Linked DNA regions of Lepisosteus oculatus. Each later gene encodes a partner of the first gene's protein in a complex. Links are inferred from orthologs where the notes say so. Each region holds a gene or a part of one and is shown on either strand. Other genes may lie near its edges.

Region 1 (8,564 bases):
GGCAGCACATCGCCCCTGTACTCACACAGCGCGTCTCTTGGTGGCCCCTCTCTGCACCATGGTGCCCGCGGCAGCCCCGCCCAGGCCCGGGTTACCAGGGGCCCCACCCGCACTCAGCCCGGACACCTCCGACGCCATGTCTGGGAGAGAGGGAGAGAGAAGGAGGGTCACACAGTGTCAGTCTCCGGCCACAGCGAGACCGCAGAGCGCCCAGACATCGGTGCCTGAGGAAACGGGCCACGCTCCCAGTGCACAGCAGTCTGATCCACTCCAGGTTTTACAGTGCTGTCAGTCAGACTCCCAGTGCACAGCAGTCTGATCCACTCCAGGGTTTATAGTGCTGTCAGTCAGACTCCCAGTGCACAGCAGTCTGATCCACTCCAGGTTTTACAGTGCTGTCAGTTAGACTCCCAGTGCGCAGCAGTCTGATCCACTCCAGGTTTTACAGTGCTGTCAGTCGGGAATCATCATCAAGGCTACTTCTCTGACACTTTGAAGCGCTTTTCCTTTTAGCTTCAGCTGCTGTCCTGGCCAGTGAACGGACCAGCGCGACGCGAGTCACAGAGAGCCCCCTCCCCACGCACCCACCCAGTGCCAGCACCCAGCCGGCTTCAGACATCGCCTCGGCGAAACCCTCCCGCGACAGCCAGTCAGTCGGACAGCGACAGGAGAGAGAGGTTTCCTCCCTCCGGTTCGCCAGACGTCCCTGTGGGCTCGGGAGTGACCGGGCTGTCCAGGCTGTGGCGGACAGCCGGGCTCCAGCGGAAAGACCCCCCTCCCCAAAAAAAAACCCCGCCCGGTGACCCCCAGAGCCCCCGGCTCTGCCCCGTGAGGGCTCAGGGCTGGCAGGCCTGTTCTGACACCCCCGGGACACACACTCGCCCAGGGGCCGCACGCAATCGACGGGCTTCGTACCTGATGCCGAAGTCGAGGCCATGAACGTTAGAAAACATCCAGCCCTCGGCGCCTCCGCACGGTGTGGGACAGCGTGAGACACGGGTTGTCGGTTTTTTTCTTATTTTTCGAAAGATACTTTTTTTCCTCTTATGTTTTTGTTTTTTAAAAAAAACACACAGCGAAAACCCTCCCTTGAAACAAGATGGCAGTCTGGAGCGGAGGCCCGCGCGTCAACCGAACTCTTTGATTACAAAACGGATTAAAAACGTGTTAAAATGATGGGCGGTGCCTCTGTCCAATCAGTGATGACAAAGATTGGACGTACCTTTCTTTTGGCCAATAGAGATTCGGAATCTAGCAAAGGCAACAGAGAGATCCCGCCTTTCACACCAGGCTAGAATGATCTGAGGGGGCGGGCCGAAATCGGTGACGCCACACAGAATTGTTTAAAGGGACAGTCTGGGGCGGTTTGAGTGTTTTTAATCGAGATCTTTTGTATTTTTCCACAGGAAATGCGCTTGTTGTGAAAGATATTTCGACATCTGGTATTTGTCATCCTCCGCGGTCCCTGCAGGGAGAGAGTGATTTTGTGGAGAGGCGAGTTTCTGATTAATTATGTCGAGTACAGACCTGCAATCTCAGTGTTTAACATAAACACAAACACGAGAACAGGAACAAAAGGTGAAGGAGAGGAGCTACTTTTCCGTCAATTGATCCTAGAAGCGTTAAAGAAAACCCCAACCCTCTCTCACAATAATGTTTTATGTGGTGTATGCAAATATTGTGTTGATTGTGTCTGCTTTGGTAACACGTCATTCTTCTCATGCCAATAAAGCTCTTTCAGAAGTTGAATTTGAAACCAGGGTATCCGCTTCAGTAACGCAGCTCATTAAATCCTACAGTATTATGAAAACATTTGCTTATCATTCCTGTTCGTTAGCTTTGCAAAGGGGCCGTGGGGCAGCTGTTTGCTGACTCATCCCTGCACTGAATAACTTGTCACAGAAATCTTGTCCTTTGTAAAGCCCAGTGAGATCGGGGTAAAAGCACAGTACAGTGCAGTGAAGCCCAGTGAGATCGGGGTAAAAGCACAGTACAGGGCAGCCCAGTGAGATCAGGGTAAAAGCATAGTACAGTACAGTGCAGTACAGCACAATGAGATCAGGGTAAAAGCACAGTGCAGTGAAGCCCAGTGAGATCAGGGTAAAAGCCCAGTCCAGTGCAGTACAGCCCAGTGAGATCAGGGTAAAAGCGCAGTACAGTGCAGTAAAGCCCAGTGAGATCAGGGTAAAAGCATAGTGCAGTGCAGGATAGCCCAGTGGGATCAGGGTAAAAGCACAGTACAGTGCAGTACAGCCCAGTGAGATCAGGGTAAAAGCACAGTGAGATCAGGGTAAAAGTGCAGTACAGTACAGTAAAGCTCAGTGAGATCAGGGTAAAAGCACAGTCCAGTGCAGTCCAGCCCAGTGAGATGAGGGTAAACGCAGTAAAGAGTACACTAGCAGTGTCTGCTGCTGGTCCAGAGTCTGTGAAAGAGGAGCTGGCTGGCTTCACGCTGTCTCCACGGGGATGGCCCCTGTCTCCCAGTACTCCCATGAAGCGTGACGGGTTGCCGTGTGCCGGGTTACACGGCTCGGAGCAGGTGCCCTCTGTGGAGCGGGCCGCGGCGGCACCGCGCCGGGATCGGGTTCCCCTCGGCAGCGGGCCGGGCCGAAAGACAACACCAGGAGCGTGCTGAAGTATTCATGAGCCGGGGGGGACAGTGGCGCACACGAGGAAAACTCCCGCAGCCGAGCGCAGAGGTCCAGAACGAGCTGGATCGCTCCGGCAGCAGTGCATCCCTGCAGACCCTCCCGAATCCCGAAGGCAGGAGCGAGCGGCGAGGCGATACCGCCGCTGTGTGACCACACACACTAACCAGGGCATGGGTAAGTGTGAGGCCGCCGTTTCCCACACACACACCGGCTGATCCGCCATGTTCCCTACTGGAGTTCTGGGATCTGGCCTCGGAGAGGCAAGAAGTCACTGCATACGCTGTTAAAATTCCTTGAATTTCCGATTAAGGATTGTTTCGTTTTTCCCCAGCGTGTGACAGTGTTGGGTTCAGGGCACGTTTATGCTGCTTTCACTAGCTAGCTGCCCTGTACAGGTGTTAGCGCCAGGGTCAGGGGTCAGGGGTCAGGGGGTCACCCGTACCTGCGTTCCATAATGAGCCCCCTCCCGTTCCTGCACAATGGGACTCACCCCCCTGCGTCTCTCAGTCTCGACAGGGCTCTGCAGAACCCCGGTCCTGAGCCTGTAGCTGGGACCCAAACCGAACTGGATCCCACTGGGCCACTGCTGAGCCACCACCCCGCTGGAGGACCGGACTGGCGTCAGAGAGCGACTCTCGCACTGCCTGTCACGCACACTGCCTGGGGCGGACCGAGAGACCCGCGGGTCACTCTGCTGTTTGATTCCTGGGCTTTTCTGATTGTTTAATATGTTTACAGTAATAACATGGAGTTCATCCAGTTCGACGAGACTTTGCTCAAGTGAGGAGACCTGACAGGTCCAGGTGTTAAGGTCTTGTTACACCGGGAGGACAGCCGGTCCAGTGGATAAGACACAGGGCTGTTACACCAGGAGGACAGCCGGTCCAGTGGATAAGACACAGGGCTGTTACACCAGGAGGACAGCTGGTCCAGAGGTGAAGACACAGGGCTGGTACACCGGGAAGACAGCTGGTCCAGTGGTTAAGAAACAGGGCTGTAACACCAGGAGGACAGCTGGTCCAGATGGACACGGATGCCCCTCCCCAGCTCCCGGTGGACGTTGACAAGGGCTTCGCTCTGGCCTTCCTCTTCCTGCTGTGCTTCTTCCTGCTGGTGACGGTGGTGCGCTGCGCCCAGATGGTGGTCGACCCCTACAGTGCCATCCCCACCTCCACCTGGCAGGAGGAGCAGATCAGCAACTGAGGCTGAGAGCAGCACCCCCAGCGGCTGGGAGACTGGGGGCAGAGTGGGAGACTGGGAGACTGGGGGCAGAGTGGGAGACAGTGGACAAACTGGGAGACAGGCGGTAGACTGGGAGACTGGGGGCAGAGTGGGAGACTGGGGGTAGACTGGGAGACTGGGGGTAGACTGGGAGACAGGGGGTAGACTGGGAGACTGGGGGCAGAGTGGGAGACAGGCGGTAGACTGGGAGACAGGGGGCAGAGTGGGAGACAGTGGACAAACTGGGAGACAGGGGGCAGAGTGGGAGACAGTGGACAAACTGGGAGACTGGGGGCAGAGTGGGAGACAGGCGGTAGACTGGGAGACAGGGGGCGGAGTGGGAGACAGTGGACAAACTGGTAGACTGGGGGTAGACTGGGAGACTGGGCGCAGAGTGGGAGACTGGGGGTAGACTGGGAGACTGGGGGCACAGTGGGAGACAGGGGGCAGAGCTGGAGACAGGCGGTAGACTGGGAGACAGGGGGTAGACTGGGAGACTGGCGGTAGACTGGGCGACGGGGCAGGGCTGGACCATGGGGAGCAGTGTGCAGTTTTATCCAGACCAGGAGTTGCTGAAATAAAAGGATCTGGAAGAACGACTGTGTTTTGTGTCCTGTCTCAGAATTCCCAGCTCTGACCAGGAGGAGTGCACTGACCCACTGAGACAGAGTGGATTCTTGTACATTTATAGGTATCTGTGCCAGGCATTGACAGCCACGCTGCTTACACATTGCCCTGCTCAAGAATAATGCGTTCAGCAATTACAGAAGAGCTTCGACCACGTGTTGTAAACTCTAGGCATACAAACCCTTGACAGGTCAGCTCCCGCCAGAACCTCTGGCTGCACTGATTGGTTCAAACCGACGCCTATCACGGTTTAGCGCTCTTTATTGGACAAACCTGCCATCGTCGGAGGGGCCTTTCCTCTTACCTCACGCTACTGTGGAGCCTATTGGTTGCCTCCCCTATCACTCACGTCGATCAGCATTGCTGATTGGCGCTCATTAGGTCTGGGGGCGTGGCGACGACTGCAGTGGGCGTGTTCCCTCATGGACTCTCTCTGGGAAGGGGGAGAAAGGGAGACAAGCTCGGAGACTGGAATCTGGCTCAAAAATTTCTTTATGAAATAGCGAAAGAGTAATATCTACAGTGACCCTCTACCGGCGAAACGCCTTGGAAGGAGAGGTAATTCTGGTTAAAACCGGAGTCGTTTGTCGTTAATTTCTCAGGTGGGCAGACGTCGTTTTGTAGAGAGGGGACATCTGCGATAAAGAGCGAATGCTTACAGCTAAATTTGTCCAAATTATGGCTTTCGGTAACAACGTTTATTTCGTAAAGATAACCCCTTACTCTCATATTTACTGCATATAATCACAAATATGTAACTATATAGTTTTTTTTGTGAGAAATTAAAAGAACGCGATGAGGTGTTTTAAATTCGCCCTCACCTTACGTCAGACCCGCGCGCCCTGCGAGCGCAGCGCATGGTATGCTGGGAGTTGATGTTTTCTTCGTCGTAACTCTCCTTCGTATTTAAAGAATTGCGGGAGATAAAAAACTACATTTCCCATGACGTTCATTTGCCGCAGTAACACCGCCTTCATCGCCTTCAATGGAGGTGCTCAATGCAGATGACGAGTTGTTTTTAAAATACATTTATATTTTGAAGTCTTCCTTCCGCAAAGGTTTTGGATCTAAATCAGTACCCCTCGTTTCGTCTCGTCTCGCAGCCGAAGCTGCTGCTAATTCTAAAAGTGTGGAAAATTGAAAACGTGCGTGAGGTTAGTAGTGATCTCAACGAACTTCAACAACCTTTTGTGTAAAATTAGTTCTGCTCTACGCGTAACATCATTGAACACCTGAAAACGTTCGCTGTGTAGGTTTCTGCTATAGTCCGGTGTCCGAAGCCCAAGAACACTGTAGGACCTCTGTCCTGCAGCCACAAGGTCGCCACATCACGTAACATGTGTACTCATCTCTAGGTCAGATACTCAGCAGTAGGAGGTGTACTCCTTCGGTATTAATGTTAAACAGAAGTCCTGCTGGTCACTACAGACCCCAGGACACTGTCAGTAAGAGTGGGGTGTTGACCCTGGTGTCCTGACTACTGGTCACTACAGATCCCAGGACACTGTCAGAGTGGGGTGTCAACACCAGTGTCTTTTGGATTCCTTTGGGGTAAAGGGGACTGTAGTTTTCTTACAATGTTACACTCACAGCAGTGTACCTCTCTCTCAGTGCAGTGTTAATGTACTGGAGTGTCCAGTCAGTGTGTCTGTATGAACCCCTCTCTCTCAGTGCAGTGTTAATGTACTGGAGTGTCCAGTCAGTGTGTCTGTATTAACCCCTCTCTCTCAGTGCAGCGTTAATGTACTGGAGTGTCCAGTCAGTGTGTCTGTATGAACCCCTCTCTCTCAGTGCAGTGTTAATGTACTGGAGTGTCCAGTCTGTCAGTGTGTCTGTATGAACCCCTCTCTCTCAGTGCAGTGTGTCTCGGTGCTGTGTGTCCGCTGCTGCAGATGGACGAGGTGGAGATGGAGCAGGAGCTGCAGGAGGAGCTGGGTGTGTCCCTGGACGAGCTGCGGCAGTGGGTCCGGGAGGAGATCCTCAGGAGCGAGGCTGTGGCCAGGAAGACGGCCGAGCTGGAGCAGCTGGAGCGCCAGGTGCAGCAGAGGGAGGCGGAGGTGTCGCGCGTGGACCGGCTCTTCGACACCGCCTTCCAGTGAGTGACCTGTCCCCGGGACAGCGCTGTCAGGGGGTGTCCTGTCCCCGGGGCAGCGCGGTCAGGGGGTGTCCTGTTCTGAGGACAGTGAGTGACAGGTCTCTCTGCTTGTTCTGAGGACAGTGTGGCCAATGACTGGCCTTGAGGTGTGTCCAGTGGTCAATGTGGTCAGTGAGTGACCAGTCCTGTGGTGTCCCCCCAGGTCGATGCAGGAATGTGAGGGCCTGGTTCGAGACCTCTACTCCAGCATGGGTCTGACGTACCGCGACAGCAGCTCGGACGATGATCAGGGGGATCGTCTGGCCCTCAGGCCCTCTGAGGTCATCGAGATCGATGATGATGACGACGACGATGATGTTGTGGCTGTGGGATGCAGTACGTGTTGAATACGAATTCCTTCCCTCTTATATAGCACCTTTCACACCAGAGGATCCCAGAGCACAGCCTCCCATGAGCTGCACAATCTGAGTTGCCTGGACAGGCGCCTGCTGGTGTCCAGCTGTATTAAACCAGAGGTCAGGCACCAGTCTGGTGTCCAGCTGTATTAAACCAGAGGTCAGGCGCCTGTCCGGTGTCTGCCTCTTCAAGGCTCAGGAATATTTAGCGTGAAGAATCATCCCACGCCTGTTGTTTCTGTGTGCAGGGCACTATATAAATTCAAAGAAACAAGTAAAGGTTTATTCCATGCTGAAAAGAAAAGAAAAGAAACGTTTGTGTTTCGGGTGTGAAGAAGGCTCCACAGCCAAAACGTTGTTTTTCCTTGATTCTCTTTTCAGCAGGAATAAACCTTTACTTGTTCCTTTGCAGCCGACGCACACTGACACAGGTACCTGCTTGAGCTGTATAAATTCCATATTGATCTCCTTTCCTGTCCCTCCATCACAGTCACTCCGGCCCACCCGAATGTCACCTCTCCAGCCAAGAAAGTGACCACCCCCGTCAAGGATTCCACAGTGAGTGTCTGGTCACTCTTTCTCCTCCTGCTGTGTCCATAGTCTCCTGTTCTCTTCTCTGTGCTGTCTAAACAGAGCGAGGCTTTCTGTGTGCTGTATAGTTTTGGGCTGTGTGTGTGCGCTGTGCAATATCGTGCTGTGTGCTCTGAGGCTGTGTGCTCTGAGGCTGTGTGCTCTGAGGCTGTGTGCTCTGAGGCTGTGTGCTCTGAGGCTGTGTGCTCTGAGGCTGTGTGCTCTGAGGCTGTGTGCTCTGAGGCTATGTGCTCTGAGGCTGTGTGTGTGTCCTGTATAGTTTCAGGCTGTGTGTGTGTTTTGTACAGTATTGGGCTGTGTGCTTTGATGCTGTGTGTGTGTGCTGTACAGTATCAGGCTGTGTGGTGTGATTCTTCCCCAGATAAATCTCTCTGTCTCTCTAGTTTGATGACGCAGCGGCAGCCTTGAAGAAATCGTCTCAGGATGTGCAGAAGCTGGCCGAGACCATGTCCAAGAAGACTGCGCCTGCGCTGCCCTCGACACTACTGCGTTCATCCAGCAGGGGTCAGTGTCTGTCTGGCCTCGGGGCGGGGCTGAGGGCTTTGAGACTGGAGACAGGTTTGATAGTGTCTGTCAGCATTGTGAGACAGGTGGGGTGGTGCCTGATGTCTGCCAGGGCTCAGAGACTGGAGACAGAGACGGGTGTGGTGGTGTCTGGCGGGGCTCTGAGTCGGGAGACGGAGTCGGGTGTGGTGGTGTCTGGCGGGGCTCCGAGTCGGGTGTGGTGGTCTCTGGCGGGGCTCTGAGTCGGGTGTGGTGGTGTCTGGCGGGGCTCTGAGACGCGAGACAGAGACGGGTGTGGTGGTGTCTGTCGGGGCTCTGAGTCGGGTGTGGTGGTGTCTGGCGGGGCTCTGAGTCGGGTGTGGTGGTGTCTGGCGGGGCTCTGAGTCGGGTGTGGTGGTGTCTGGCGGGGCTCTGAGTCGGGTGTGGTGGTGTCTGTCGGGGCTCTGAGTCGGGTGTGGTGGTGTCTGGCGGGGCTCTGAG
Region 2 (8,571 bases), on another chromosome or scaffold:
TCAGATTTACATTGCATTGCAAAAATAGCATTACATTTTGTTTTGTTTTTTATTTTGTCAGGGTTTGGCAGATACAAGCAGCAGTCTAGATTACATGCTAAATAAAAAAGTCAAAACACCCCAAGAAAAGATAACTCCAATTAAGAGGAGCAAATGATCTCAAAATAATTACACATAGGGTTTGTTGACCTCAGAAGGCTGTTATTGTCTCAAAGAAATATGCAACAAAATACTGACTTGTATTTGTATGACTTGTGAATGTGTTGCAGCACCTTCAGTTAAAATCACTGCAGTAAACCAAGGTATTGTTTTGTTTTAATATGTTCGAATGTATGCTTGGAATGAGGCCTACTTCAAAATAAAACTTACAATATATTGTACTTATCATTCAAATTAATCTCTTGATCACAGCTCCAAAACACACGACTGAAAAACAAAAATAACAGTTTTGACAGTGTTGTTGTGACCTATTTGAAGGCACTCTGCTTCAATAGATATTCCCGTGAATAGGTTTTGAACACTCAAAGGGTTTCAAGGATTAATTCCTACTTTTATTTCTCGTGCACTGTGTAAAATGTCATAGCTGAAGTATGCATGCTTTAACAACTGAAAGCTCAGCTCTTAGCTCTTTTTCCAGATAGGCTGGACTCCTTTAGGGAAGAAAAAAACTCTTTGGTACAGTATCCAACAATGACCTACAACCTGGATTTGCCAGTCCAGTGCTTTAATAGTTTCTCTCTTTCCTAGTGTTAATCCCGCATCAGAAGGGTCCGCTTGTTGGCACAGCAGTCTCCGTTTGGTGGTTTGAACCAAATCTTTGAGCAGACGTTGCCATTAACTGCGACCAAGAAATATTCCAACCGGCGCGTCGCTCCACCTGCCGTCGGAATGGAAAGGGGGGGTTCGAGAACAAAGTAATGAAGCCAATTCATAGAGGGGGATTATTAGGAGGCCATGATTGATAAAGGCCGATGGGAAATTTGGCCAGGACGCCGGGGTTACACCCCTACTCTTTTCGAGAAACACCCCGGGAGTTTTAATGACCACAGAGAGTCAGGACCTCGGTTTTAAGTCTCATCCGGAGGACGGCGCCTGTTTACAGTATAGTGTCCCCGTCACTATACTGGGGCATTAGGACCCACATGGACCATAGGGCGAGCACCCCCTGCTGGCCCCACTGACACCTCTTCCAGCAGCAACCTTAGTTTTTCCCAGGAGGTCTCCCAGCCAGGTACTGACCAGGCTCACACCTGCTTAGCTTCAGTGGCCAGTTGTGAGTTGCAGGGTGATATGGCTGTTGGCCATTTAATAGTTTGACAGAAGAAAAAACAGAAACTCTCTCAAGTACAGTATATGATTTCTCAGATTCAACTGATGCTGAAAGATTCTGGGGAATTTGTAGACTGGAGGAACCCTGATTTTTACTGAGTTCTACCAGACAAGATTAATGAATAATTGTTGTTTCTATTTATATACTGCTTTTCATCCCAAGGGATCTTGAAGCATTTTACAATAGTTTCTTCATATTAATTTCTGTCTAGATGTGTTTACACATTTCTGTCCCTTCAATTAGATATTTGCAAAGAGTATACAAATACAGTTTCTTAACTTCAAACCAACTTCCTCTTACAGTGTTTAAAACCAGTAAAGGTTTTTTTTAATCTATTTCCGGGAGCTACAAAGTACAGTATGTTTTATTTGTTTCTGTGATATCTTTACATTTTAGAATTTCATTTTAAAAACCATGATATGAATGCCCATCTTGCTCACAGCTGAAATTTGTCAACATGTTGACTCTCCGTCTTTCACTGCTCCTACAGAGCTCCAGTCCATTACCCAATCTACTGTTCCATCTGGGTGCCCACTCCTGCCCAGGACAGACTGGGATGATACGACCCCCCTCTTCCTGTATTCCCTCACCAGATGTATTATGTAACATGAACGTCTCCACAAGACAGGCCCTGATAAGGCAACGATCCACCCACAATTACTCAGCACACCGTGATATTTGTAAAAATACAGAAGTTTGTTGAGTTTGACTAGTTTAGTAATCCCAATTACAGATTGTGACGCATATAGCCTGTTTGGTAAAAAGAAAATCCTGGGTTTTTTTTTTTGGTTCTCTCATTTTTTTTCTGTTAAGGTGTTGCCAGGCTTTAAAAATCCATAGTATAGCCTTGTCTTGCGTTCCTGTGCTTCTCAGACAGGCTCAGGTGTGCTACAACTATTACCGTGAATAAGCATCTTACCGATAATTAATGTATTTAGAACACTTCTGCAGGACTGTGGATCCTCAAACATTAGTATACAGTAATAGGAATAGAAAAACAACTGACAGTTCTATAACTTTTAAAAAACGGTTTGATCTGCAAACTGTTCTGCTTCCTTCTTAATGACCCTCTGTCAAGAAGGCTATCCAGAAGCGTAGGTGGGTACTGTGTTTTGTCTAGTCGTAGAAGCGCCCTTTTTTTAACACTATTTGAATGAACAAGACCTGGAAGGCCTGGTCACCTTAATGTCTGGGTTATAGGCAGACAAATCAAGGACTCAAGGGGCAGGGTGCAGCAGGGTTTCTCATTCTTTAGAAATCAACATCATCAACAGTTGAAGATCTTTGAAAATTGTTAAATTTGGTGCAGTAAAACGTATGATTAAGAGCAGCCATGGAATAAAATTCCACACCCCTTGTCTAGGTCTTATGACTGAATGTTTTGGTGAAGAGGTTTCAGACTCATTTCCTGTAGGGCCTGATGTTTTTTTTTTCTACTCATGCTCTCATTTATACCAATTGGTCAGATTATTTCATTAACAGCACAATTTTTATACTTTGCTCCTGGCTCTGAGGTGTTTTCTAAGTAACAGTAAGTAAAACATGAAATGTAAATGAAACAACTGTTTTAGTAATCAACTGTAAAAGATTTTTTTAAACTCTAAATATGTAAAATTAAAACAAAATGTTGTGTAATCGGTGCTCAAATTAGAATAAAAAAATGAGAAGACACTAGACCCTCCAGGAACTGACATAATTGGGGAGGGTTTTGTCATTCAAGACATCAGTATAGCAATACTAGTGTATGGCAAAATAAAGTGGTCTTGCTTGTTCTAAACTCAGGACAGATTTGTTTTTGTATTGTGAAGAGAACATTTAAAAGTAAAAAAAAAACGTATTTTATTTTGGAATCACAGCAATGAATAGCGAGGTTAGAATTAAAAACAGGGTCTCATACTCAGTTCTCTAAATTAGACATTTATGTAAATGTTATTGAGGTCTTCTATAGTTGATAAACAAGACATTCACTTCATTTAAGGTCCAGTTAACAATAATCATCTTAGAGCCTGGTTAGAAATATTAGAATTCAGCACCTAGTTAAATCACACCAACAATGTCATCGAGAACGTGGGTGAAAAAAAACTCAGAAGACACGAGTCCCTCCAGGAATTGAGTTTGAGACCCCTGTAATAAGGGATGGAATAACCCAGCGTTGTCTTGCAAACTAATCTGAGACAAGTATGTGGAGACGAGGTCAAAACTGTCACGTCCCACAACCTGTAAAGTAATACTAATATTATAAGGAATAACCGGGGGGAGGGAGGTGGTAAAGTGGTACTGTCATATGTTGTCTTCTGCTTTTCTGTTACGCAGGAAGAATTACACCGCTGGTTAGTTCTTCCATGACATAAAATATCTCGTTTCAGTTTAACGTAGTAGTGTCCAAACGGGGGATTTCCTTAAAATAATTTTCATAGAGTTGCTTTGCCACAAAACTTTGAAAATGTAAAAAAAATAAATAAACCTCCCTACACAGCGCATGCTATTAATTTTGTCCGGAGAATTGCCAAGACCAACAAGCACATCAGAATGATTTGTTGAGGTTGCTTACATGAGAAGAAATACAAATTCTTTGGCTTTGAATTATTCACAACACTATGAGTGATATGCAGCTTTGTATCAATTATTTAACAAATGCTGATTCTCTTGCCCATCCCTTTTTAAAACACACATTCTAAGAAAGTAACACGTACATTAACTGTGGATATCAATGTTGACACGAAATGGTGATATACGTGTATTCGAGTATGCTTTAGGTACAGGAAGGGGTTTAGAAAAAAAAAATAAACAATTGTGGCCATGTGAATACTCAGATCTCGGTTCACATCCAGACTCCCCCACCCCGTGTTTTTCCTTGACATTATCATTTGCGAGCGAGTCCGATAGAATAGAAGCCATTGCCTGTTTAATAGCTGCTGCTGCAGCAGCACTTCCGCTCCGCGAGAGGGGAGAGACACGAGCCCAGGCAGCGGAGTCACAGACACAAAGAGAGGTACCGTTTAAAAGACGAAAATATTCTTTAATGCCAGTAAATACTCTCCTTAACGGCCCCCGGTAGGTCTCTGGCATCGACAGGGGGCCGCCTGTAGAAGTTTTTGCGAGGTTAACGAGGATATTAACCTGTCGGAAAAAGCAGAATGAAGAAAAGGATCCGAGCGACGAGTGGAGCTGAATAGACAGATCGGTTGCAATGTTGAGAGGAGAGAGAAAAAAAAAAGGAGACACTGCTGATATACCCCCGCAAGGAAGACCAGAGGTTAAATTGATCAGTTGGATGAAACCCGTTTGAGATTTTAGGCTTTGGTTAGTTGTTTTTCGGGGTGTGAAGTTTGATCAACTATATGGGGTCTTGGGGACTGAAAAGCAAGTCAAACATTTCCAGAATGGATGCGACGTTGGGGTAGCCAGATACATGAGAGTACGGATATATATCTATCTATTTATCTTTCATTAGCTGTGCGGAGCTGTACCCAGTTCCCAGCTGTGAGCTGGCTGTCTCTGAATTGCTGGGGTGCAGGTAAATATTCATTCCCACTCCGGCGAAGTGTGTTGTTTGGGAGAGGAGCACAAGGCGTTGGGAGGAACGGAGGAGTTCAGGACAGTTGTTTGGCACATTAGTCTCGGACAGAAAGTAAGTTCCCTTGACTTCAGAAAATCGGAGTTTAGGGGGGTGTTTTGCCCTGGCTGCACAACTTCACACGCAGTCTTTAGGAGTGGCGACCGTGAGAAGGTGCAAAGAGGCTGATCTTGGGGGTAAACCCACATGCCACAGGCGTGTCGTCTACCAGTCTTATTTGGTATGCATTTATTTCGGAAGCTAACCCTCGATTCCCTCTGCTCGCCTTTCCAGGTTGGGTTTTTTTTTTCCGTTCCGTGCGGCCGGTATGTCGGATGAGGATTCGAGGGCCAGTACTAGCTCATCGTCGTCGTCTTCCTCGTCCTCCGCTCAACATCAGAAGGAGAAAGAAACAACCAGCAAGAAGAAGGAGAGCAAAGCCAGTATGAGCAAAACCTCCAAACTGCTTTCTACGAGCGCAAAGAGGTAAAGGGGGAATCGGTTGAGGGCTGAGCAATGCCAGTTATCACCGGTCGGACAGCCATTGTATCGGGACAGAAAGAGTTAACGCTTAGTGTGATATTAGCAACCCTTGGCTGTGTGCGATCTAGTTTTCAGGTTAAACACATTTTTTTTTTCCTTGGGAGGACTGCAGTAGCGTCATACGAACCAACTTCGTATTAAGATGTATTTGGAAGCTCATCCACCAGTTCTTAGTCCTGATAGCTTCCCAGCCCGAAGAAAACCACCCCTTCTTTGAGAATGAGTGGGTTTTACTTCGTATTTTTTTAAATATGATTATTTAAATTCAGGCTCATGCTGAAATAACACTTTCTCCCATGCAACCGACGCTTCCTCAGGCGTGTCTCCTTTAAGAGATCTCACAACAAGCTCAGCTATTCTGTTTCAATGGGGAACCAGCTCATTTGCATATTAGCTTAAGCAGTTTATTGCGAAAATTAGGAGGGGGGGATTGGCGAAATTCCTTCGGTAGCTGCTTGTAAGGCGAAGGTATTTTGGCTCCAGGTGAGGGCCACCCGCGAAATCAGTCCAGAAGTGGGTTATTTCATCTTTAAAATATTGGTGAGTAGGAGCTGCTGGGAGCGGCCATGTTTGTTTCGCAGGCAGAGGTCAGCAGCTGTGCCTGCGTGCGATGTAAATCACTGATTCCTTCGGTACCGACTGATCGAGACTAACGAGTGGTTTCTGTTTCCTTCAGAATCCAGAAGGAGCTGGCAGATATCACTCTGGACCCTCCTCCGAACTGCAGGTACCCGGGTTTGGTTATTTTATTATTACGGTTAGGATTTCCCTATCAAGAGTGCTTCCTTAAAGGCGCAGAGCTTGGCTGTGAATTTGTGTCGGCCGACAGCAATCGCCTGGTACGACTCGGGAGATTATTCAGTATTGTGCTGCATCCTTTTTGTGTTCTGGCAAGAGACCGTTAAGGCATAATCAGAGATACTGTGCGAGATCCTCGTAGTCATCTAAATAATTTAGAAAGGACCACACCGGTTTTTTGTTCCCTAAGAGGTGAGCTGTTAAAAAGAAATCGGATTCCCTCTGTGCAATGCAGAGGAATGGGAGAAGGGGTCGGGATTTTCCCCCTCCTTGTGTCATTGCACAGTATAAAGGTTTCTTTTGGCTCAGCAGGGGCAAAAGAGAAATAGACTTTACATGAACGGAAATAGCAGTGATTTTATTTTTGATGGCGTTTGCATTCATCTTACACAGTCACGTAAAGCTGTTTCTTTAAACTTATAATGAGAAAGATGCACCTGTGCAAAATACACTTTCAAATGTGTATTGTCTCTTTATTTTGTGCAGTTGTTTAACAGTTTAATATATCCACTAATACATTATATTTAAAGTATGTTTTCCAAATAACTTTGAGGACATTTCACTAAACCTTTTCAACACCCTTATTCCCATAGGGACTGTTTGTTTTGGGATTGATTCAGTGAATTGTTTTTTTAATTATTAGTATGCTAGTTCTGTGTAAGATTTTAGAGTGTTTTTATGCTGGAAACCTTGCTTGTCATTGGTCAGTGATTGATTGTGTACCTATAACAATTCTTAAAAAGCTGTCTTCATTCAGGCAGTTGGTAACAATAATGAGTTGCATTTATATATTACTTTTCAGCTTAAAGGATCCCAGAGCACTTTCCTTTATAACCAGGGTCCCACTTCATCCTCTACTCATAACCGAGATAGAGGTGTAGCTTTTTTTGCATCACCAGCTCCAATACATTGCAGATCAGGTGTGGAAGACAGAAATTTCTTAAGAGCAGGAGATTCACAAATGAAAGGAAGCCATTTGGACCATCTGAGCTGTTCACCAGTTCTGCTTCACCAGGTGGATTAACGCAGAAATGAGGTACTCCAGATTGGGCAAGACCAGAACAAAAGTCAGACTGGACATCTAAGTTAACGCCCGTGCTCTTAGAAACAGTACCGTGGAATCTTTAATAACCAAGTCGACAGGATCTCATTTTAGCATCTCATCCACACAACAGCACCTCTCCCTGCACTTTATATTATATTGTAACGCAACGGGGGCTCAGGCGGGCGCCCTTGCCGCATCTGGTCGGCCCCTGCACCATCGGGGGCTCGAACCCGGGACTTCCGCGTCTCTCTGCAGCGACCTAGCCCCGTGAGCTAAAGAGAGATCTCTTCACAGCCCAGTAGCTGTGGTCCTGCTATCACAGGGAAGGGCGGTGACGTCACCCGCTCTGGTACGCCGGCTCTTACACAGTGCCTGTCGGCCGTAAGCGTTACAATATTTACTTAGTACAAAGTAAAAGTTTCATAGAAACAAGGGGACTAAACATCCTTAGAAACTGAGAAGAGGCAGTTGTCTCCCTATTATTCTTATTATTGCCTTTATGTTATAAGCGCAGAATTAAAATTAAGTAATGTTATGTTAAGATTGGATCAAATCGTAAAATGCACTGCAATACCATGCATTTGTGTACAGTTTTGGTCGTCGCAACATAGAAAACAAATTGCTGCTTTAGAATCAGTCCAGAGAAGACCCACTAGATACATTTCAGGATTTAAGGGAATATCCTACACTGACAAGCTGAAGGAACTGAACCTTTTTGGTCTTGAACAAAGACTATGAGGGGAGCTGACAAAAGGATTCAAAATTCTTAAAGGCAACAGAGTTAATTTCTTCAGAGACTTGAAGCAAAGGGCACAAGTGGTAACTTAAATGAAAGTTCTTTTAAAGCTCGGAACAGGAGGCATGCCTTTATCCGAAGGGTTGTTGGAGGATGGAACACGCTATCTCACTATGTTGTTCAAGTCAGTCCCTGGTTTTTAAAGATTGGCTGGAGGAGATCCTAGGAATAATTCAGTGGTAACTATGGGGTAGATGGGCCAAATGGCATACTCTCACTTGTAAACCTTTCATATGGTTTATGTCCTTGAGAGAAAGGCTTTTCAGCCCATGATACAAGCACCTATACTGGTGAACTACACCTTGCCAATAGTTTGTAGCACCAGTTAAAGTTAAATCTACTGATTTGTTGCTGATTGTATATACTGAATCAGCGCTATAAAGAAAAGTCATTTAGAAATAGTAAATCACCCTCCCCACTGCCAACACTACTGGAGGAGGTGGTAAGCAGCAGTGTTGGAGTGGCAGGGGTACCCCAACATCGCCCAAAAGGATGAAATCGCT

Evidence for each region.
Region 2: the proteins of setdb1a (region 1) and ube2e1 are in contact, whole or in part, in a crystal structure (PDB 8IYA), measured with the Homo sapiens proteins. The link is inferred for Lepisosteus oculatus from reciprocal best matches to the Homo sapiens genes SETDB1 and UBE2E1. Residues at the interface, in NP_001138887.1 of Homo sapiens: Glu868, Gly869, Tyr870, Glu871, Ser872; in NP_003332.1 of Homo sapiens: Asn125, Ser126, Gln127, Val129, Cys131, Leu132, Lys136, Asp163, Pro164, Leu165, Val166, Gly167, Ser168.

What each region holds. Positions count from the first base shown.
Region 1 is NC_090722.1:6,979,303-6,987,866, forward strand, and holds the start of setdb1a (histone-lysine N-methyltransferase SETDB1-A), read left to right. Parts: upstream 1-4,892; 5' UTR 4,893-5,057; intron 5,058-5,090; exon of another isoform or gene 5,091-5,653; intron 5,654-6,354; exon of another isoform or gene 6,355-6,359; 5' UTR 6,360-6,391; coding exon 6,392-6,594; intron 6,595-6,796; coding exon 6,797-6,969; intron 6,970-7,479; coding exon 7,480-7,547; intron 7,548-7,963; coding exon 7,964-8,084; intron 8,085-8,564. Other genes in the region: aryl hydrocarbon receptor nuclear translocator-like, read right to left, coding at 26-140, 916-937. UniProt on the Homo sapiens protein: Histone methyltransferase that specifically trimethylates 'Lys-9' of histone H3. H3 'Lys-9' trimethylation represents a specific tag for epigenetic transcriptional repression by recruiting HP1 (CBX1, CBX3 and/or CBX5) proteins to methylated histones.
Region 2 is NC_090705.1:30,783,381-30,791,951, forward strand, and holds the start of ube2e1 (ubiquitin-conjugating enzyme E2 E1), read left to right. Parts: upstream 1-4,216; 5' UTR 4,217-4,322; intron 4,323-4,861; exon of another isoform or gene 4,862-4,961; intron 4,962-5,180; 5' UTR 5,181-5,214; coding exon 5,215-5,372; intron 5,373-6,105; coding exon 6,106-6,156; intron 6,157-8,571. UniProt on the Homo sapiens protein: Accepts ubiquitin from the E1 complex and catalyzes its covalent attachment to other proteins. Catalyzes the covalent attachment of ISG15 to other proteins. Mediates the selective degradation of short-lived and abnormal proteins.